3 linked regions of the Pelodiscus sinensis genome follow. Each later gene encodes a partner of the first gene's protein in a complex. Links are inferred from orthologs where the notes say so. Each region holds a gene or a part of one and is shown on either strand. Other genes may lie near its edges.

Region 1 (7,671 bases):
ATGCACCTCATCCCTAGACTGCTGAATTCTCTGCTATTCCAGTGCTGAAGTACATACTCATCAATAATGTTACTACCCTTCATTACCTATATGAAGTATCCCATATAATTCAAACCTGGCTGCCTTCAAACCTATGTCAATGCTCCTTGTTCTTGGTTTGCCACACTTCCTGCTATCCCAATCCTGTATGCACCTTAGTCCTGGTAACTTTCTTGCTCAGGGGTAGGGAAAAACACCCTCCACTCAGAGTGCAGCAAGTTACAGCCCTGTAAAGCTGCAGTGTAAACGGGTTCCCAGCACTGTTAGCTAGTACCCTTAAGGAGGTGTTTATCCATGACCACACTGTAGTGACAGGACTTTAAACCTGAATGTATAGATGGGGATTGATACTGCAATGATTGATCCACCAGTTGTCGATTTATTATGTCTGCTTAGACATGATAAAGCAATCCATGAGTGCTCTCTCATCAATGCCAGTATTCCATCAAGACAAGAAAAGTAGCTGGCATCTTGGGAAAGCAACCCCTACTGACCTTACCGTACACTAGACGCCATAGTAAATACATCGACTTCAGTTATGCTGCTTGCGTAGCTGAAGTCACACACATTTGATTGATGATGGGGGTTAGTACAAAAAAGGCCAAAGCCTTAGATTGACATCATTCTATAGCGTGGACATTCCCTCAGGAATAGGTGCCTAATTGGTGGGTTCTCCAGAGCTCAAGCACACACAGAAAAAAAATAGAGGGTGCTCATCACCCACTAGCCCCAGTGATTCTGGCCTTGGGACTGGCCACTGATCAGCTGTTTGACAGCCCCAGGGCTGGCCGCCAATGAGCTATTTGTCAGGTGGGAGATGCTTGGGGGAGAGGAGGCAGAGAGGAGGGAGTGGCAGGTTGGCTCAAGGGAGCGGGCATAGAGAGGGTGGGAAGAGCTGGAGCTAGGGCGGAGGGAGAGGAGAGCCTGTGGGAAGAGGCAGAGCATGGACAGGGCCTTGGAAAAGGGGCAGAGTGGAGTGGGAGTCCTGGGGCAGACCAGGGATGGAGCACTCACAGGGAAAAATGTAAATCACCTCTTGTGCCCTGCGGCACCGAAAGTAATCTACCCTGCAATAAAAGACCTGAGAGTGGCACAGGATAACAGCCTTGAGTTTGCAGGGCTCTGACATTACAGTGTAGAACCTAGGCTCTATGATCTCATGAGGCAAGTAGGCCTCAGCTCCCAGGCATCTACAATGCAGTTTTCAGTCTATCAGCCTGAATCCACAGCCTGGTGTCTGAGCTATGCAGTTTTCACTGCAATGTAAACATATCAGAGGAAACTAAGTGACACGCAAGGTCACAGAAGCAGTTTGTGGTAGACCAAGGAATGAAACCTAGATCTCCTGAGGGCTGATCTAGTGCCCTTATTATAGAGCATCCTTCTTCTTTAATGGATGAACTATTATGTACTTTATTTTATTGCAAATCAATGGCTCCACTCAATCTTTTATTTTCAATGTTTCAGTGTTATTTTCAATGTTCGCATATTGGTGTGAATTTAACAGCATGTTCTTAAATAAACAAAAGATTCCATTAAGGGTTTCTTCTTATCCCAATGAATGGTGCTTGATATTCATAGTTCTCCTTAATGCCGGTGGGCTACATTTCTATAAAGTGAGATCAGAACATTCCCCTTAATTATGCAGATGTGTAACCGATCAATTCCACTGCCAAAAGCAATCTTGTGGAAGAACAAATTTTAAAGGCTCCAGTTCAATTATATGGCCACTAGTATCATTTTAACTCCTCACATCTTGGTTTCAATACTGTGCCATGGAGGTCAATGGCAAAGCTCTCACTGACTTCCACAGAATTGAATCCAATCCCTATGAAATAAGAATTTCAGGGATTGTACCCAAGTGTCATCGCTTTACATTAGACAGTCCTTAAGCAACACTCATTCTCCCAACAGCATTTTTGGATAAGTGCTCAAAACAGCTTTGCTCACCTGTGTTTTTTCTGATCCCGTGGTAAGAGGGACATTGTGGTACCAGATTTTTATTCACATCATGTAGGACACATTCAAAGCTGTTTCTGCCTTAGCCCAAGCGAATGCTTGAGTATCTTCTTCTGCTCCCTCCTGCTAAATGAGTTTCCCCCTGCCAAGCAGAACTTTATGACCTACTTCTCCCTCCAACAGTTTTTTTTTTCAGGAGAAAGACTAGATGTAAGATCTTCAAGACTAAAGACAGGGTTTTCAAAAATCTACCCAATCTTTGAACTGAGGTGATGTGAAGTGGAGCACACTGACTGTTCATTTTGTTCCCAAATAGCTCTAGATTTTTTTAACACTCTCTGTGGACACAGCACATTTCCAGAGATCCTCACACACAAGGCTCAGTCCTACTTGCTTTCCTCTTCAAGCCCCCACACCATGAGCCCTCCTCGACATAGTGAACTCTTTCACAGACTGGAGTGGTAGTTTACCTTCACTGCCCTTGCTGATGTGATAGTTCTGCCAAGTCCTGGACATCTCACTGGAGACTCCTACACATGGAGACCATTTTCTTCAGTTGACTGGGTAGAGTCCCATGCTTGGTCATACCTAGAGTACAAAATCCACCGTGTAAAACTCCTATGCCAAGTTGTTCACACCCTGTGGCCAATGAGTTACTTATGTGTTAAGCAGTGGCGGGCAGCCTGTGGCCTGCGTGTGACCCATGGGGTTCTATGTGTGGCCCATGAGACATTTTGTTTACTGTACTCCATGCACAGTTGCCAGATTCTGCTGGGTTCCATCTGCATTAGTTTTTTTCCTTCCTATTACTAAAGTGACACACAGAGCGAGGGCATGTGAAGAGGTGCATGCTGAGTGCATGCAACATTGACTGAGAGCTGTGCGCTCCCTGTACATCCACTCAAAATGCTGCTACAGTTGAATCAGCACACCATGCAAATTCTCCGAATGCAAGCACAGCTAGCAAAACTACCCTATCCTAGGAGATGGTCTTGGTTATGACAGTCTTTCTGCCCACTAAGATGAGAAGGGCCACTCATGCAGCCCACTCACTGACTTAGGATGCCCATCACTGATGAAAAGCATCCAGAGCGCTTGGTAGTCACAAGGCCAAAGAAAGTTACGTAAAAGATTCACATTTTTAATTTGTCTTTCCCTAGCAATACTTGTATTGCATGGATCCGGGTTATCCTAAGCACAGGGACTCAAAACTCCAGCTCACCATTGATTTGCTTGTAACTTGGCTACTTTCAGCCCCACTCTGTGCTTATTGCTGAGAGGTTTGTGAGCCTGATTGAGTCTCCTCGCTGCCCTAATTCAAGGCTGCTCTTTGCAGGGAGACAGCTGAACAGTTTTACAGGTGTCTCCTCCTAAATATTATTCTACACCGAATGATCCTGGTATTAATGATTATTAGTGTAACAGAAGAACTCTACTCCTTACTGGTTATTGCAGGGGTGTCCAAACTTTTTTCAAAGAGGGCCAGATTTGATGAAGTGAACATGCGTGAGGGCCGACCATTTTGCCTGACATTCTTTGAACCATTAAAATTAAATGCAAATTAACTATTTTATGCAAAGTTTATTGCAAACGGCATACTTTTCATTTCGTCACATGGATGACAAATCTAAACAGGTGTTAAATCACTCTGCCTTTCATATCTGAAGGCCAGATGAAAAAAAAATCCAGGAAGCTGAAATATGTCAGGAACATTGTAAAGTACATTGCATATTATTGGTAATAAAGGTTGTCTGTCAACTTTTAAGTTCCAAAAATATGAACAGGAACATAACACCAAGTATACATGTTGTGTCCAAATATATTTATAACTGATTTAGACCAACTGACATTAACTGAGATTTTACAATGTATTCATCTCAATACATATGGATTCGTTGGGGGCCATAAAAGATAGATATTGCCAAGTTACCTGGGGGGCCGTATTAAACCGGAACACGGGCCGCAATTGGCCCGCGGGCCGGACTTTGGACATGCCTGGGTTATTGCAACCAATAACTCCCAAAGCACTTGGGCTGGGTAAGGGACCACAGAGATCCAATAAGAATTAATGTATTTGTATGGACAACAATTAGATCTCTCGGGGAAAAGAACAGTGCAATGCCAGTAGGACAGAGCGGGAGGGTCCCACCTGCAGCTTGGAGAAGGGCGAGAAAAAAAAAATTCAGGTTCCACCGAGATTTGAACTCGGATCGCTGGATTCAGAGTCCAGAGTGCTAACCATTACACCATGGAACCGCCGTGGCGAAGTAGCGCCCGGGCGGGCTCTCGTTCTTGCTGCGGTTGGGCGGGCTCCCGCTTGGCGGTTGGGGTCCCAGCGAGGGGAGCAGCCGGGGTGCGCCCCGCCTGGGTCTGTGGGGGGCAGAGCCGGGATACAAGGGGGGCAGCCGGGCCAGAGCTCCCTGTGGCCAAGGCTACGGGCCCATAGCGCGAGGGGCCGGGGCCCCGTGTGTGTGGCGGGAGCGGGCGTTACACCGAGCCCGTGACAAGAGCCCGGCACGCGCCTGCCCCCTGCGGCCAGCGGGGAGGCGGTTGGCGAGCGGTTGGCGAGGCAACCCGCCGCTCCCGTCGGTGGGCGGGGCCAGGGCGGCGAAGCTCCTCCCCCGGCCGCTGGGCGTGGTGCTCCGCGTGACCCCGGAAGCCGTTCGCCGGCGGGTGGGGCGCGAGAGCGGAAGTGCCGCAGCGGCTGCAGGGAGGGGTCCCGGCTCTGGCAGTGCGGCGGCGGCGGCTCCCGCTCTCTGGCTGCGCGCACCATGGGCACCCGCGACGACGAGTACGACTATCTCTTCAAAGGTGAGCGGCGCGCCCGGGCCCTGCCGCCCTCCGCGCCAGGACGGAGCCTCCCGCGGAGGGTTTCCTGGGGAGCGGTCCCCCAGGGCGTGGACGAGGTGGGGGGGGGGCGCCCCCCCGGTTGAGCCGGCCCCTCCCCCAGGCGCGGACTGGATATGGTGGGGGGCAGCATTGCCCCCAACTGGGTCCGCTCCTCCTCCCGAGGCGTGGGCTGTGTATGGGGAGGCACGTCCCCCCCCAACTGCCTAGCGGGGAGTGGGAGGAACAGCCAGCCCCCCCCCCAACCGGAGGTGAGGATGTGGGGAGGGGCTTATTCTCCCTCCCTCCCCCCATTGGGCTGGCTGCTTCCCTCGAAGCGTGGACTGGAAGTGGGGGGCACATTCCACCCCCCCAGTTGGGCTGGCCCCTCCCCCTGAGGTGTGGCCTGGATATGGGGGACGCAACATTCCCCCCAACTGGGCTGGCTCCTTCTCCAGAGGCATGGGCACATTCTCTCCTCCCCCTCCCCCTCCCCCAAACTGGCCAGCAGGGTGTGTGTGTGTGGGGGGGGGGGGGGAGGAGGAATATTTCCCTCAGCTGGACCAGCCAGCTGGTTCTCTACCCTGATGTATGGACTGGGTGTGTGGGAGAATAGCCCTCTCTTCCCCTCTGCCCCCCCCACTTCTGGAACCAAACTTGTAAAAGTGCAAGATGTAAGGGTGTTCCAGTCTTTGTCAGGTCCCTAAATTTGAAATATCTATTCCTGGATTTGACTCCTCTGTAATATCTTCTGACCTCACCCTACCAGCATCATGGAGTGGGACAAAACTTATCTTGTTGGTAATGTTTGTGTGTCCCAGCATTTGATTTTGGCTGAGAGGATGTTTTATCCTGTGTGAAGTGTATTCCAGAGGTTGCTTTGCTATAAAACTATTTTGGAAGCCATTTTTGTCATCATTACAAAGCAACCTCAGTGTCTTTAATTTCTCTAAGGGTTTAGTAAACCATGATCTTGGCTTTCTTTTGTGGGACAGAGGAAGTGGTTTGCAGAGGTGCTTGTTCCTTGATTTGATAGTGTAATAAGTAATTTAATGTTCAAATTTCAGTGTCTAATCGTATAGTCAAACTCTTAAGACTGAGACCTGCTATTTAGAGCCAACTGCTTTGGAAGGAGCCTTGTGTTGTCAGGTTCTTATTGCCCAAAGAAGGCTGAATACTGACCACTAAAGATGTAGCTCCAGAAACCCTTTTAGGTTGTCTTGCCTTGCAGAGTATTGTTTTAAGTACTGGACATGTGAGCTTTGTAAGGAATGACTATTTTTGGACATGCCTACTCTAAAATGACCAATTATAACTAAATCTTGGAGCAGTTTTAATATAAAACAGCCATCATGGGCTCTTTCAGATCTTCGTACAGTGCTACTGTTCACCTCTTGAACTAAGAACAGTAAATGTGTTGAATAAAAGTAACTAGTGATTGTGTAGGAGAGTAGTCCTATTGCAGTTCACAGGTTAAACAGGGTTATTTTTTATGCTTTTCCTGGTGTTGACATAGCCTAAGCACAACTACTTTCATGCAGTAGTAAATCTTGCATTACTTGCCTCATATTGTGGTGAATCTCTGCTCCAGTGGTTGTTGTAACCATTATCTCTCACTCACTGATCTCACTTCCTGTTTTGTCACTCCATAAAGTTCCTGGAAGATGAAGGAAAAAAAATTCCTTGTTTTCCAGGATCTGGGTGCATTTTTTCTCATTTTGGTTCAGCTAAGTTTTGTTAAAGATGCATCAGAATGTAGCAAATGGGCCCTTTAACATTTATCTTTCTGAAGAATGAAACAGCAGTTGTTGCAAATGTTCACAAGTAAGATGTGCTGAAAAAACACCTAGTGAAATGGTGTGCTGCAGAACACTCAGTGAAACTTTAAAGATATCACTTAAACCACCTATTTGAAAATATTTTAGATATAGCCACTTGCTGTAATACTATAATGAAAATCTGCATGTATTGAGCCTTGGATTTAAAATATTAGTTTATACCTTGTAATTGAAAAGCAGCTCTGAAATGTGTCACAGCATATAGAGGGATGGAACTCAAAAGGGAGAATGTAAAGGTTCCCTTCCTGCCCCACCTCCCCCCATATTTAACTTAAGTGAACTTTTGTATGTTCTTCCATTTAGAAAGCATCTTTTTGCTTTTTCCCATCATTAGAACCATCTGTCAGGGCAAAGGTATACAACAAGTAAAACCAAGTTAGGGAATCTGTTTACAGCAGCAATTGTTATCTGGCAAGGTTACAATCCATTTGCCTTTTGAATTGTAGAAAAGTATATCCAATGCTCTTGTCCTGGTTACACTTCTGTTTACACTGAATTATTTAAGCCACCATCTTAAATTACAAGCACTACAAAAATTGTATTATGTGGACATATTAAGGGATAAGTCTTCTGTATGGAAAAACAAAAAAATTAAATTTATATAAACTGGTTACATCTCTATTCCAAATGTTATCTCTAGAAGAAAGAAGTGAGCATAAGGGAGGTCTTACGGATGAGGACACTGAGTTCAATCACTTAGAGTAGCATGGATGATATTTTTTATTCCTCCCCCACTCCCCTTCCATTAAATCACCAGACTTTGCAGAACAAACATTGTAGATCCTCCTCGACAATGTCACAGGCTGCGAACCTTATCTCCAAATCTGTGTGGATAATGCTGGTGTTTAGGGTAGAGGCCCACCTAGAACAGAGTCACAAGTGAGTCAGAGGAGTTGTTGCAACTTGGCTATCTCCTGACTCTGTTCAAGTGTTCATTGTGAGACTTACAAAAGTTGGGTTTTATCATTTCTTGTTGTCCTTCATGTTCCTACTCAGCGTGTTGCCCTTC
Region 2 (7,209 bases), on another chromosome or scaffold:
ATTGGTGTGACTTTAAAAATGAACAATTATTACAGAATTATAATGGTTAGCAATGTTGTGGAGAATGAGAATGTCTGTCAGGCTACGTCTACACTCATGGCTTATTGCGCAAGAACATCTTGCGCAAGTGTTCTTGTGCAAGAACTCTTGCACAAGAAAACGTCCACACTGCCATGTGCGAGCTGTGTTTTTGCACAAGAGCGCCCATGGCAGTGTGGATGCTTTCTTGCGCAAGAAAGCTATGAAGGTCATTTTAGCCTTAGGGCTTTCTTGCACAAGAAATCCCTGCTGAGCGTCCACACAGCCCTCTTGTGCAAGAGCTCCTGTGCAAGAGGGCTTATACCTGTCAAAAAAGAGCGTAGCTCTTGAGCAAGGAGCCCCCTTTACCACGCCGTACTGTAAATTTACTTGCACAAGAGCAGGCGGGCAGTGTGGACGCTCTGCAGATTCTTGCACAAGAATGGTCATAGTTGTGCAAGAAGCCATGAGTGTAGACATAGCCTTATTGTTTATAAGTGTCATAAGGTCCTCAGTTTACCTGTGTGATAAGATCCTCCCTGCCATTACAGAGTTAACTAAAAGGAGGCTGTAAGGAGGAACTCGCCAGAAAACAAAATACTGACCAAGACAAGGAAGTCTTGCCCTGTAACGATTATAGTTACAATTAAAACAGTCTTAATTCTCACGTGCACCATCTTTCTCTATTAATTCACTCTTCTACATGTGCTTGGCCCAAGAGATCAGTATTTAAATAAATCTATAGGATTCCAAGAGTTGTGGCAGAATTCTGTAATTTTCAGTAATTTTTAATACCCTCTCTGCTCTCACCCAGGGAACCGACAATGCATCTCTAATTCCACATCAGAGTTGACACTTCAGCTGCCCCAGCAAAAGAAAACACTCTCCTTTTACACTTGGCTGCTCTGAGACCATTCCATTCTTCTGTTTCATTTCCGATTGCATGCAGAACAGTACTTATTGAAGAGGATCAACACATTTGTCTGTACTTGTAGAGGTAAGCGAATTTATTGTGGCAAATAATGTATTTGATGAATGAATTTCTCTATGGTTTCTGTTTGCAAATTGAAAAGTTTGCAATTTTTGCATTATTTGGAATTGTTTGCCAGGTAATTTTGGTGAGAAATGTTTGGTCAGCAGATCACTGGTACCTATCTGCTTGAAACTTTGGATTATTGGGTGATACATGTTATTTCTGAGGGGACACAGGTTACAGGGTATACTTTTATTCCTGATTGGATGGCCAGCGCTCTTAGTGTCTGTACAAATACTCAAGCTTCAAATTCTGTTTCTGTTATCTATACTTGTGAAAGTTATAATCAAGGTGTTCACAAGATCCCAAAGAATCTTCTCCCTGCCTCCAAATCAGCCAACTTTTTGCAAAATAGCATTGCCATAGTCTTCTCATCTTACCCTTTCCCCTATGCGTTACCTATCAGATCCTCTGCTTTTTAATATCCTTGATGAATTTCCTTGACCATTCATCCCTTCATGTTCCTTATGTCTTTCCATCCCCACTTAAGTATTTGCCATATCTAAGAGATGATCACCGGAGATGATGAAGGGGGATGTAGGAGAGGCAAAGAAGGAGCATGTGTGTGGAAGAGCTGCTCATCCTGAACAACCAATGTGCAGCCTTAATTCCAATGTCAAATATATTGCACTTTAACTAATAGATATGCAGGATAATAGTTGTAATTTACACTCCAAAATTAATACCAAATTTATTACAATAAATGTTCCAATAATGAACATGGACGATCCTTTTAACTTTTTTTTTCAACATTACAAAAAATATCTTGCAGCTTACACCAACAGAAAACTACGTACACAGTGATTTATGAAGGACACACCAACCATGTTTAATCATCAGTACAAATAGATAGTCTACAGTCAGAGTTCAAGAGTACCAGTAGTTGGTTCAGTATTGGTGGGTTTGTGTTGGTAGGACATAGTTTAGCAACCAAAATGTGTCTGTCAGATATTCAGTTTAGCATCCATAACATGTCTGCATGTGTATTTAGAAATATAGCTAATATCTGTAGCACACAGAAGTCTCCTGTGGGATAATACCATTCAAATTATATACAGTAGAACCTCAGAGTTAAGAACACTACAGGAATGTTTGTAACTATGAAATATTTGTAACTATGAACAAAACATTATGGCTGTTCTTTCAAAAGTTTACAAATGAATATTGACTTAATACAGCTTTGAAACTTTACTATGTGAAAGAAAAATGTTTTTACCGTCTTAATTTAAATGACACAGGCACAGAAACAGTTTTCTTACCTTGCCAAATCTTTTTTTTTTTTATAAACTTTTCTTTAGTTTTTAGATTATATTTAACCCAGAACTCTACTGTATTGGTTTTTATTTGTTTTGTTTCTGCTATTGCCTGATTGCCCACTTCTGGTTCCAAATGAGATGTGTGGTTGACTGGTCACTTGTAACTCTGTTGTTCATAACTCGGGTTCTACTATATTTCCAAACAATTTATACTTATTTTTGCTAATTAATTTAAATTAAATGGCGTGGTGAAGGTTGGGAAATGAGATTTCAGAGTTTCTTGAAACAGACTGCAAAATCTTGAATCACAGGAGTGAAAATTTTGAAAACTTCCTTTAAAATGGCAGACATGCATGACAGGTTTGGACTAGTTGTACATCTAGACTTGTTCACCATGTGTGGACTCTGATTGCTAACGCAGAACTGGTGACATATTGGGTAGTGTCAAAATGCTAAGACAATCTGAATGATCTATATATCAAGAAATTGTATTTTAAATGTTTTTATTTAAATATGTAGCATGTCTCCTTTCAGTTGCAAGAGTTTTTTTCATAGAATTATAGAAAGAACAGATAGGGCTGAAAGGGTCCTTGAGAAGTCATCAAGTCTAGCAAACTCTACCAAGTCAGGAACAACCTATACCAACCTTGGAAGGTGTTTGTTCAACCTGTTCTTAAAGATCCAATGATGAAAATTCTACAACCTCTCCTGGAAGCTGGTTCCGGCACTCAACTATGCTTGTGTACTGAAAGTCTTTTCCTGGTATTGATCCTACATTTTCCTACTTACAGCTTAAGCCCATTATTTTGTGTCCTGTCTTCAGCAGGCCAGAAGAGCAAATTATCATTATTCTCTTGAATAAAAGTGTTCCATATATTTGAAAACTCTTAATAGACTATCTGTCCCCTACCACCCGTTTTCTTTTCTTACATTTCAAACATTATTTTAAAATTAAGCACAGCCTGGAGTCTCTCCTCTCTTCCAGAAAATGGTGCTTTCAGCTTCAACCCAAGGCTGTGTCTAGACTGGCCAGTTTTTCCAGAAAATCAGCCACTTTTCCAGAAAAACTTGCCAGCTGTCTACACTGGCCACTTAAATTTCTGCAAAAGCACTGACTTCCTACTGTAAGAAATCAGTGCTTCTTGCGGAAATACTACGCTGCTCTTTTGCGAAAAGGGGCCAGTGTAGACAGCTCGGATTTGTTTTCCGCAAAAAAGCCCTGATCGCTAAAATGGCGATCTGGGCTTTTTTGCGGAAACGTGCGTCTAGATTGGCACGGACGCTTTTCCGCAAAAAGTGCTTCTGCGGAAAAGCATCTGTGCCAATCTAGACGCTCTTCTCCGAAAATGTTTTTAACGGAAAACTTTTCCGTTAAAAGCATTTCTGGAAAATCATGCCAATCTAGACGTAGCCCAAGATATTGGGGGTGGAGGGGTAGAGGGAAGGTGCAGGAGATTGGAATTTCTTCCTCCCCTGGTTTGAAATAGGAGGCATTCGAACCCCAGCCGCCCATGCTTAGAGGACCCCTACTGCACCCCAGTGATGGCTTCTTGTGCCTCTAAAAATAATAGGGAGTTTTCTTTCTTTCCCCCTAGCCAAGATTAGGGGGCTTTCCTCTATCTTCCCACTAATAGTCCAAGGTGCCCCCTCACCCCCAGGAGCGGGTTCCTCTATTCTCCCTCTCCTCCGATGTTGGGGTGAATTCTTCTGCCCATAAATAAGGGATCCGTCTTCTCTATGACTGCTCGGGAGTCCCCCCAGGGTGAGGGGCCCCGCTTCCCCCGCAGCCAGGCGTGAGCGGGCCTCGCTCCCTGCAGCCAGGCCCGGAAGCTCCGGAGCAGGGTGGGGTTTGGCGGAAAGGCTCGGGGCTCTCAGGAGCCGGGCCGGATTGAACCCTGCCCCCTGCCCTCTGACCGCCGCGGAGGCAGCCGCAGCGGAGGGAAGGCGGAAGCGGCAGCGCCGGGCTCGGCAGCAGCAGGCCGAGCGCCGCAGACTCTGCGGGCGGAGGGGGGGCGGCGTCAGTGCGGGAAGCGAGCGCGCCGCGAGCCGCCGGGCACGCTCGTCCGTCCGCCGCCGGGGAGCCCAGCCTGGCACCGCCGCGCTCCAGGGGCCGCCCTTCGCCGCTGGGGACGGAGGCGCCGAGGCTGTAAGGGGCCGGGGGAGGCCTGCGGGGGCGGGGGCAAAGCGACCCTGGCCAGCGGCCGGGGGGAGGGAGAGGACCGCAGGGCTCCTCACAGCCGGGCAGGGAGAGGACCCCAGGGGCAGTCTGAGGGAGGGTCTGAGCGGGGAACCCTGGGGGCTTCCCAGATTTGGGAGGGGGGAGTCAGAGGGGACCCTAGGGGCTTCCCAGATTTCGGGGGGTAAGATGGTAAACTAGAGGGTTCCCAATTTTTTTTGGGGGGGGGTGGTAAAATGGCACACTAGAGGGTTCCCAGATTTGGGGAGGTAAGATGGTAAACGAGAGGGTTCCCAGATTTGGGGGGGAGGGTAAAATGGCACACTAGAGAGTTCCCAGATTTGGGGGGGGGGTAAGATGGTGCACTAGAGGGTTCCCAAATTTTGGGGGTTAATATGGTACACTAAAGAGTTCTGAGATTTGGGGGGGTAAGAGTATGCTAGGGGGTTCCCAGATCTGGGGGAGGGAGTAAGAGGAGACCCCTAGGGATTTTCTAGATCCACGGAGAGGTGGTACAAAGGGGGCTTTGCAGTTTTGAGGGGAGGACTAAGCAAGGTGATCCTGGGCTACCCAGCACCCAGTGGAACATGGTGGGAGAGGAGAGTGCTATGAAGGGGACCTAGGACTGAACATGCAGGGCTGATCTATATGGGAGGGTATGTTGGGGCTTCTGGGATGATGTGCGGTAAGGGAGGGACCAGGGAGTATTTAGCCCTGGAGGGAGTTTGCGAAGCAGAAGAGAGACAGGCTACAGTTGGTTACAAACCTTGAAACCTCATTCCTTTATTTATCTCACCCTGGGCCCCTTTCTTCTTGCAATGAGGTAGGAACAGTACATTAGAAGGCCTTGCAGGGAATGGGAAATTTTAAAGTTCAGGGTTGTCTTTACAGGAGTTGGGAGTTGGGGGGTGTTTTTTTTTAATGATGTGAGGGGGGAAAACTGAGTAAAGAAGAGTTCATTAATTGTTGTGGAAGAAAAAGAATATATGAGTGATTTTTTTCTATTTTTAAAATTAGTAATAGAACTGAAGGTGTTACTTTTTTGGAGGGAAAATCTAAGCAATGGTTAGTGTGTCTCAAAAAAACAAAAACAACCAAACTCAGTACTGAGAGAAATAACGCTGGGACTTTCATAGATATCCCTACTTTAAGTGCACTTATGCAGTAACTAGAAGATTTAGAAACTTTATTGTGTTGCTACAACTACTGAACTCTTCAAAGATGATGTTGGCAGAGCAAGCCCAGACGTGGTTCCCAACCCACGTACAGGTTACAGTTCTTCAAGCCAAAGATCTGAAGCCAAAAGGCAAAAATGGCACCAATGATACCTACACTATCATACAACTGGGCAAGGAAAAATACTCCACCTCGGTGGCTGAGAAGACCTTAGAACCAGTCTGGAAAGAAGAGGCATCATTTGAGCTCCCTGGATTACTGATGCAGGGGAATCCAGAGAAATACATTCTTTACCTGATTGTCATGCACAGGTCGCTGGTGGGCCTGGATAAATTTTTGGGACAGGTGGCAATAAATCTTAATGATATATTTGAGGACAAGCAACGAAGAAAAACAGAGTAAGTGATGTTTTGTATTACAGTTTTTTGGGTTTCTTAAGTATGTGGTTCTAGATCAGAAGCCTTATAGCTACAATAAAATTAATTGAAACTAATAGGTATAATAGATTATGTGGCTCATAAGCCTCTGTCATACAATGAGCTCTTCAAAGGAGTATCCTCATTTAAATCAGTAGGTTTTCCTGTGATTACACATGCCCATCTGGACAGAGTAGGACTATAGATAATAAAATTATCTACAATAATTACATTTTTTTTAACATTAGCTTCTTACAGTCCATTTTTTTCATACTCATCAGTTGTAAAACCATTTTCAACTTGTGCAACACAATTTAGACTATATATTTCCCAGATCTGGGAGGAGGAGAGGAAGGGGAAGTAAGTCTGAATATAGTCCAACTCAAGCAATGTCTAGTATCAACCAATGTAATGTAGTGTTAAGTGTTCATATTCTGCAAAACTGACTCTTAAATTTTCCGTATTATTTAGTGCTGAATGAACGTTGTCTAAATTAAGGTTTACCACTAGTGTACTGTGTACTTTTCTGATTAGAGTTTTAGGTATTGAGCCTGCAAACTGTTCTGCACTGCAGGCCCAGACAGAGAAGCTTGTTAGGGTAAGGTTTGGGCTTTAGCGATGAAGTGGAGTTGGTCTGTTCTTATTAGTCCAGTTCCTAGAAGTTTCTTCCACTTTAGTAGCCTTCAGCAGCAGATATTCTTTTGTTAAATAAAACTATAATTGACCAACAAATTCTGCAACTAGAACTTAAAGGAAAGAATGCAGAAGTTAATAAATATCATTTTGCATAGTATGTGTACTATATATTTAAAGACTGAGTATCCTAAGACCTGGTGAACATCCTCTTTTTTTTTTTTTTTTTTTTTTTTTTTTTTGTACTGGTCTAATTTTTTTGTATTAGGGTGTGTGTTTTTTAACTGACGTAGTTAAATTGGTTCAACCCTTGTGTGGACCCAATTATATTTGTATAGTGTGGGTTATTTTTCTAAATATACAGGAATAAATTGTATTTGTTTAAGTACCTTTGTACTGATACAGATATATCTACATTAGAGGTCATATAGCTTTAAATGGACCAGTCCAAACGAGTATAGTTAAATCAGTCTAAAAACAGTGTGGCCAAGCTGTAAGTTA
Region 3 (7,443 bases), on another chromosome or scaffold:
TTGTTTGAAAAAACCCTCTCAGATCTCCTCCCACAAAATATAAAAGTCTATGTCTGGGAGACCCAATAATGTGGTTTGGAAACTTCCTGTGAAAGTTTTCCTCTTTTATAACTAAGCCTGAACAGCTCCCCTATACAGCTGAATAGCTTCTTTATTCCAGGATCTCTAGTAAGTAATGGGGATTGTACTCCAATAATTATGATAGTAGAGCAACATAACTAGGCTGTAGTGTGATTTAGTTACTCCCAAAATAACTCAGATGACCATTGGTTCCTCCATATGTACATTGTTCTGTAACTGTCTATGAGTAAGGCATTGATACATTAAAACTGTAGTCCTTAGCTCGTGTGGCTGGCTGGTATGGAAGGGCTGCAGTTCCCTTCTGGTTCCCAGGATTTTTGACCATTACCGAGGATGCACAGGAGGACTCAGAATGATGCTCATTGCTTGCTTTCTCTGCTCTTGGTTGTCAGGGGCCTAAGTAAAGTCATGGGCCATAACACAGATGGGAGGTTGTTTTGCCCCTAGATGTCACTGGTGAAAGGCACACATGTGGTTATCCTAAACTTCTTAGATGAATTTTACAATCCGCAGTGTTGCTCCTGTCAAGGAACAGCCTGCCATGATGTGTAACCATTGATTCTCCAGCCTGCTCACTCCGGAGTCCAATTAGTAAGAAAAAACACCCCTTCCCACTGCCCTAATTACCCAATGCTCAGTTCTCACAATATTTCATTCTAAGGATCAATGTTTTTGTAACACTGATTTAACAGAAAGCAAACACTTTATGTTGTCTAATGTCTCAGTCAGTCATCTTTAGGTGTGCATATAGGATTGTGGGTGATGCATCTAGCAAAAAATCAGCATACTTTACTCTTTTCTTTAGGTTCTGACCATTAGCGTATTGTGAAGGAACACTCTGACATGGTGAAGATAATACCCTGCTGCAATCACCTGGAATTTACCTTTTGTGCCACACGGAGCAGGAAGGCTGTCTATATATGGAACATGAACATTACAAAGTTATTTCTGGGGCCGTGTTGCCTTTTATACATGTGATAGCAATTATTTCTGGTGTGGATAAAAAATACTATTCAGAAATGATATCCTGATTCTTCTGTTGATATGCATGTGCACTACACCCCTCTTCTGTCAAGTCCCTTCCTAAAATCCTACTTCTGTTTAACCATTTCAGGGATAATCTGGCAGACAGAAATGTTTGGCAAGCACAATCTTCAGTGTTTTGAAATTATCTGATCAATAGATGTATTACAGCTGCATGTAGTGTCTAACTGATAGCTGTCTGAATTGTTTTGTCTGTCCGTTTTTATTGGAACGTCTCATCTGTTAAATAGCTGAGCATACAAATGGTTTTCTTTAAATGATAATTTTACAAAATAAGTGTGATCCAAAATAAATAAAATCTAAATATTTATGTACTCAGGCAGGATGGTGATGCCATCACATAAGGTACTTATATCAATAGCAAGCATAATTTAGTAACAAAGGGACAACTTATCTTTCGCATTGTCGTTTTTTCTTTTTATTCTGTATAGGATTCTGTACCCTGGGCATCATTCTGTCATCTGGTAGCTTTCATAGGGACAGCAGGAGCAGAGACCTCACTCAGATGGCCTAGCATGTTTTCCAGGAGAGGAGAATGAAACCTAAGCAGTGACATTCCCCCATACCTAACCTATAGAAGCCTGCCCTACAGGGGGTAGCAAAACTGAAGAAGATCCATGTTAGTTTCTTTCAGTTTCCACACAACCCCATGGGGAAAATAGTAGTGGGAATTTTGGGTCTGTCAGCATTAACTCTGTTTCTGCTCTGGGCTTTGAGACAGTAGGCCAGGATGGCTTCACAGGGAGCCAGGTTGCCATGGGAATGAGAGGGCTGGATGACTGTCATGAAAGATATCTGACACAGATGTTGTGAAATCTGTGGGGTTTTTCTCTGTAGATTTCCTTAATTTGCCTCAGTAGGCATTGTGAGAGCTCAGCATTTCTTAGGATCAGGCCATAACTGTTTTTCTTTAATGAAATAATAAAATAAAAATGACAAAGCTTTACACCATACAAGTCTGTCTTGCCATCTTCAAATAGTCCAACTATGATTTGTTGCTGTGTTTGCTTTTATGCAGCGCCTCGCCTCCTGTTCTCATTGTTTTAGGCTGTTGGTGTCACTTCAAAGGTGTATGATATTTTAAAATGTTTACCTGCCCACTCTTTTTTCTTTGCTGCTTTATGATGTATAAAGAAGGCTTGACCATTATTTGTAATGTCTACTTTTTCACCTTTTAAATCTCAGGAAAATTATTTTGTATTTTTTCTTGTTTTGGTGGAAGAACAGAGAATGGGAACTTGCCCAGCCTTCAGTTATAGGAGTGGTGAATCTCTCACAAAGAAAGTGACTTTCACAAGATCCATCCATTTTTTAAGACTCTGCAGGCTGTAAAATCAAAAGGAAATTAAAGAATTAGTTACCTTAAATTTGGTTAAGGAACTATGTACTTGTGTGTGTGTAAAGAAAGACCCTGATTAACAAGCAGAAGGAAGGCCTTGAAAATAATAAGGGGTTGTGTTCACATACAACACTGCAGTGACACAGCTGCACCACTACAGCACTTGAGTGAAGATGCTGCTGTGCTGATGAGAGAGGTTTTACCCTTGGTATAGTTAATTCACCTGCCAGAGAGTCAGTAGCTTTGCCAATGGGAGATGCTTGTGTGCCACTGCTTCGGCTATATTTACCTGTGCCTCAGCAGGTACCAGTGATCGCAGCTCCCAGCTGGCTGTGGATCCCTGTTACCAGCCAAAGGGAGTGGCAGAGTGGGACACTACTTCCCACAACTCCCATTGGCCAGGAGCTGGGATTCCCCAAAGTCAATATAGTGGTGGGGATCCACCAGAGGCTAACTATGGTGAACAGCATCCAGCCTAGGGGCCTGTATGAGACGTTAACTTTACTGTCTTCTCATTCGAGTTAAGATGCTAATCCTGCAATAAACTCAGGACTAAGGGGCTGTGTCTACATTGGCACCCTTTTCCGGAAAAGGGATGCTAATGAGACCAGTCGGAATTGCAAATGCCCCAGGGATTTAAATTTTCCCTGCGGCATTTGCATGAACATGGCTGCCGCTTTTTTCCGGCTCGGGGCTTTGCAGGAAAAAAGCGCCAGTCTAGACAGGGATCTTGCAGAAAATAAACCCTTCTCTGGAAGATCCCTTATTCCTACTTAAAATCAGGAATAAGGGATCTTCTGGAAAAGGGTTTATTTTCCGCAAGATCCCTGTCTAGACTGGTGCTTTTTTCCGGCAAAGCCCCGAGCCGGAAAAAAGCGGCAGCCATGTTCATGCAAATGCTGTGGGGAAAATTTAAATCCCCGGGGCATTTGCAATTCCAACTGGTCTCATTAGCATCCCTTTTCCGGAAAAGGGTGCCAATGTAGACACAGCAAGGGAGTAACTAATCAAATACCCAACAGCTCCCCACCATGCTTTGAGCTAATAGCTTTATTTCCACACACCACCCCCGATGAGGTTCCTTTTTTTGCTGACGCAATGAGGCCACACACTTCGTTTGTTTGGGTGGAGTCTGTTTGTTTTTGCTGCATGCACCAGATGCAAACTTGGCTGGCTCAGCTGAGGCGCACTCCAGCAACCGGGCTTTGATTTGATTTGCCGGGCTTCTCAAAGAGCGTTGCAGAAAACCTTGCCACCCGCAGAACTTTCCTCAGCCCGCTGCTGGACAAAGACCCGCTGATTAATTGGCCCTTCCCTGCACCTGCAACGTAACAGCATTGTTTGCGGTCCGGCTGATGTCACAAATAGGTGCCTTTGCAAGCGAGAGGCGTTGCAAAACCATTCAGATCCTGTTTTCACCGGGAAGTACTAAATAACAAAACCCCAGCCCCGTGCGGACCACGCGTGACAGGCACCGCTGTGACACTGGCCTTCCAAGGGTGCTGCAAGGCTTCAGCTGCGGGCAGGAGAGGGGGGGGGGGTGAGAAGGTGTCACTGCTGCTTTTGGACTAACTCCCGCTGGGGCTGCCCTTCCCCATTCAGGGCTAATCCCGCTATCGCCAGCAAGGGGTTGGCGGGCTGGGCTCTCTTATCGCGGCTGTGCAGAGCCCGGCCCATGGCGGCGATAGCAGCTAGGCTCGGGCAAGCTGGCCCGCCCCGCCCGCAGCGCGGCACCTTTGCAAAGCACCCCCTTGCCCAGGCCTGCTCGGGAGCTTGCCACGTGCAAAGCAGCCGCACAAAAGGGACGCGAGACACAGCAGGCGGCTGCTCCGGGCTGTCAAGCAGCCGCGGGGCCCGGCATGTCTAGAGGGGAGGAGGAGGGGGAATGGGGGCGGGGAAGCTGCTTTCGCCCGCTGATTCGGCAGCCTGGCGCGGGGGGGCGGGCTGAGGCCGGCCGGCGGGCGGGGCGGGCAGGCTGCGAGGCGGCGGCGGGCAGTGGGCGTGGGGAGGCGCTTTTCCTCCGCCCGGCACCTCTGCGGGGCCCCTTTCCCCGCGGCCAGCTGCTGCTGCAGGCGGAGGCCGGTCCGAGCCCGGCCCCATGGAGCCCGCGGGCCGGAGGAGCCGGCCTGAGGAGGGGGATTTCCCCGAGGAGGAGGAGGAGGTGGATCCCAGGATCCAGGTGAGCGAGCCCCGGGGATGCTGCTGCTGCGCGCGGGGAGCCCGCACGCGCGGGGCGGACAATGCCTGCGCCCGGGGCCGCGGGCCTCCTCGGCGGGGTGGGGCTGTCTCCGCGCGGCGCTGCGGTCGCTGCCTCGCCATCCCTGCACGGGTCTCCCGGGGTGCCCCTTCTGCTATCTCGCCCCTCCCCAGCGGGGCGGGCAGCCGCTGTGCCTCTGCCTGCTGAGCTCATTAGGTTTCTTCTGGGGTAGTTCTGCGGAAGGGTGGAGGCTGGAGCACCCGGTGCCTGGCTGCTCCCCTCGGGAAAGGGGGTTTAAAAGAGCCCCTTTCCCCTCCCCCCGCTTTGGGTCAGTCCGGTGCATGCGCTAGAGCCGAGCCAGCTGCCGCCTCCGATTTAACCCCCCCCCCCCCCACCCGGATTTGGCAGCATCAGAGCTGGAAGGGGGGAGAGGGGGCTTTTCTGAACCTTCCATGACTTAAAGCAACCTACCTGCTTTGCAAACCCAAGGGGGAACCTCCTGTGATATTCTGCACATTGCACAGGCTGCAAGAATACCCGAGGAGAGGTTTCTGTTCTGTGTGTGAGGGGGGGGCGGGGGAGGAGGTCTGCCTGCCTGCAGGCAAGGCAATGCAACTGTGATTTTCACCAATACCACTCATACACGGTATTTCTCAAAACGCTATACGATAGGTACAAGGCCAGAGCTGAATCATTTGTGGCTGTTGCTTTTAAGTAAAGTTGGAGGTGGGGGTGGGGAACAAAACACGGTTGAAGCTGATACCTGAAATAAGGTGGTGGTGGTGGAGGGTGGGTCGTGGTCTCAGGTTGGTGCCTGCAAAGGAGCAAGGGCATTTGTGAAGTTCAACTAGCATAATTTTAAGATGTGAATACTGGTTGTTTACGATTATTATATTTTTCCATTAAAATGTTTGGTACCATGACTCTCTTCCTTTCATTTAAATTAAAATTCTGACCATTTTGCATTTTTTGGGGGGGAATTTAAAAAAAAAATCAAACCTTTCTTTAAACCTAGGAGGGGATTACATTATTAATAGTTTAACAAAGGTATGATTTTAATTGGAAGGGGAAACACAGGCTTGAAATTTAAAACCTTGCTTTCCTTTTGCATGTGCTTTTAATATGCTCCTGAATCTCTCTCTTTATAACCAGAGTTCTCTATTTTCTTCCCTTCACAGTTCAAATTCATGCCCTGACCAACTTCTTGACGGAAGGGTCAGTGTGGCCCTATCCTGGAAAGATAGGCAAAAAGGCTTAATTTTATGCACCAAGTATTCCCTTAGTGGGTTTTCTGGCTGTGTGTAAAGTTAAGCACATGTAGGAGTCTTTGCAGGGTTGAACCTAGACTTGTAATTACTCTTATCTTGTATCTTGCTCTTTGCTGGAGCTGTAGAAATTTGTGGCAAAATTTTCAAATGTGGGTGCCTAAAGATAATCCTGATTCTGTGAACACTTAATGTTTAAGTGGCCTAATTTTTCAGCAACTGAGGCGTGCTAGCTCCCATTTACTAACATTTTGGATTACTTTTTATTTGGAATATGGCTCCATTTGTCTAATCAACACTGGGAATCTGACTGCATGCTGTTAATGAAATTGTTTGTTTTCTTACATCTGACTAAATGTCTGTTGCTTTAATTTTTGTGGGACAAAACCTTCTTACCTTGATAACAAAAAAGTAATTTAAATGTCTATTTAAAAACCATTATTGGAAAAATGTAAAAGTCTTTGAAGTCGTAGAAGTTTAAAATCAAATCTGACTTGTGTGGATAACACAGCTATATTATTAGAGCTAACATATATTTTAATTGTGACCAGATTAACTAATGTAATCTGTTGGACTCAATAGTTGATGAATTCCTGGTGGTGGTCCTTTAGTATGATTCAACACTAAGGGCTCAATTCTGATACGTTCTCCTTATGCAAGACAATTACTGTCTTGGCATGTGACTGTTTTTGTTATAGTGTTAATGCAATATATTCTAATCCTTGTTTTTGTGCCTTTAGCTATGTTTATAGCTCTTTTCCCTACCACCATGAAGACAAATGGCTTTGTCTTAAACTGTCACACTGGGAACTAGCTGACATTAGCCACATTCCTTTATGATACAGATTGTATGGAATATTTATTAATAAGAGTAACCCAAAGCAAGAAGCATATTTCATTAAAACTAGAATTTAAGTGACATTTCTCAGTGTTCTGCTACTTAAGAAAGAGACTTGTAAAGCCAAGAAGGGACCATCATCGCTTAGTCTGACCTCTGGCAGGCTGTGGGCACAGAATCTCACCCGCCCACTCATGTAATAGACCCATAACCTTTGGCTGAGTTCTTCCATATGTTGCATATCTCTGTTTTTCATTTAACATTCCAGCCCAGTGCCCTTATGTGCTTTCTTTGAGGGATGCCAGCAAGCACTTAATAGTACAGTACTTCTCTTTTCTCTGTCATGTTGATGTCTAATTTCTCAGAGCATACCTGTGTTTTTGCTCTTTTCTAGGGGGAACTGGAAAAGTTAAATCAATCCACAGATGACATCAATCGAAGAGAAACTGAACTTGAGGTAAAGAGCAGCACCTCTTAACTTCCTTTTGTGTAAAAACAGGTTTCTGTGAGAAATCTCTTCATTTTACTTGGTGCAGGCTTATCTGGTTCTTGGTGGCAATTTTACATCTAGTATCTAATGAATGACTCTGGAACAGTAGATATCTGGGTTAGGGATATAAATAGTATGGTCGATTAATTGATTTACCAATAAGCAAAAACGTATAGGTAAATGCTATAG

What was found.
Region 2: the proteins of RAB11A (region 1) and RAB11FIP2 are in contact, whole or in part, in a crystal structure (PDB 2GZD), measured with the Homo sapiens proteins. The link is inferred for Pelodiscus sinensis from reciprocal best matches to the Homo sapiens genes RAB11A and RAB11FIP2. Residues at the interface, in NP_004654.1 of Homo sapiens: Arg33, Ile44, Gly45, Val46, Glu47, Phe48, Ala49, Thr50, Lys61, Trp65, Arg72, Arg74, Ala75, Ile76, Ala79, Tyr80, Arg82; in NP_055719.1 of Homo sapiens: Glu478, Ile481, Asp482, Asn483, Leu485, Val486, Met489, Glu490, Pro493, Ser494, Leu496, Arg497, Val498.
Region 3: the proteins of RAB11A (region 1) and SH3BP5 are in contact, whole or in part, in a crystal structure (PDB 6IXV), measured with the Homo sapiens proteins. The link is inferred for Pelodiscus sinensis from reciprocal best matches to the Homo sapiens genes RAB11A and SH3BP5. Residues at the interface, in NP_004654.1 of Homo sapiens: Tyr8, Asp9, Tyr10, Leu11, Lys13, Glu35, Phe36, Asn37, Leu38, Glu39, Ser40, Ser42, Thr43, Ile44, Phe48, Lys58, Gln63, Trp65, Tyr73, Ile76, Ala79, Arg82, Gly83; in NP_004835.2 of Homo sapiens: Asp42, Ile45, Gln46, Leu49, Glu50, Asn53, Thr56, Ile59, Asn60, Glu63, Thr64, Glu67, Lys240, Tyr243, Leu247, Leu250, Glu251, Ile253, Ser254, Asp255, Ile257, His258, Arg261.

Annotation. Positions count from the first base shown.
Region 1 is NC_134724.1:5,321,902-5,329,572, reverse strand, and holds the start of RAB11A (ras-related protein Rab-11A), read left to right. Parts: upstream 1-4,671; 5' UTR 4,672-4,769; coding exon 4,770-4,809; intron 4,810-7,671. UniProt on the Homo sapiens protein: The small GTPases Rab are key regulators of intracellular membrane trafficking, from the formation of transport vesicles to their fusion with membranes.
Region 2 is NC_134718.1:60,112,799-60,120,007, forward strand, and holds the start of RAB11FIP2 (rab11 family-interacting protein 2), read left to right. Parts: upstream 1-4,191; 5' UTR 4,192-5,704; coding exon 5,705-6,057; intron 6,058-7,209. UniProt on the Homo sapiens protein: A Rab11 effector binding preferentially phosphatidylinositol 3,4,5-trisphosphate (PtdInsP3) and phosphatidic acid (PA) and acting in the regulation of the transport of vesicles from the endosomal recycling compartment (ERC) to the plasma membrane.
Region 3 is NC_134712.1:181,694,525-181,701,967, reverse strand, and holds the start of SH3BP5 (SH3 domain-binding protein 5), read left to right. Parts: upstream 1-4,425; 5' UTR 4,426-4,562; coding exon 4,563-4,643; intron 4,644-7,158; coding exon 7,159-7,221; intron 7,222-7,443. UniProt on the Homo sapiens protein: Functions as a guanine nucleotide exchange factor (GEF) with specificity for RAB11A and RAB25. Inhibits the auto- and transphosphorylation activity of BTK. Plays a negative regulatory role in BTK-related cytoplasmic signaling in B-cells.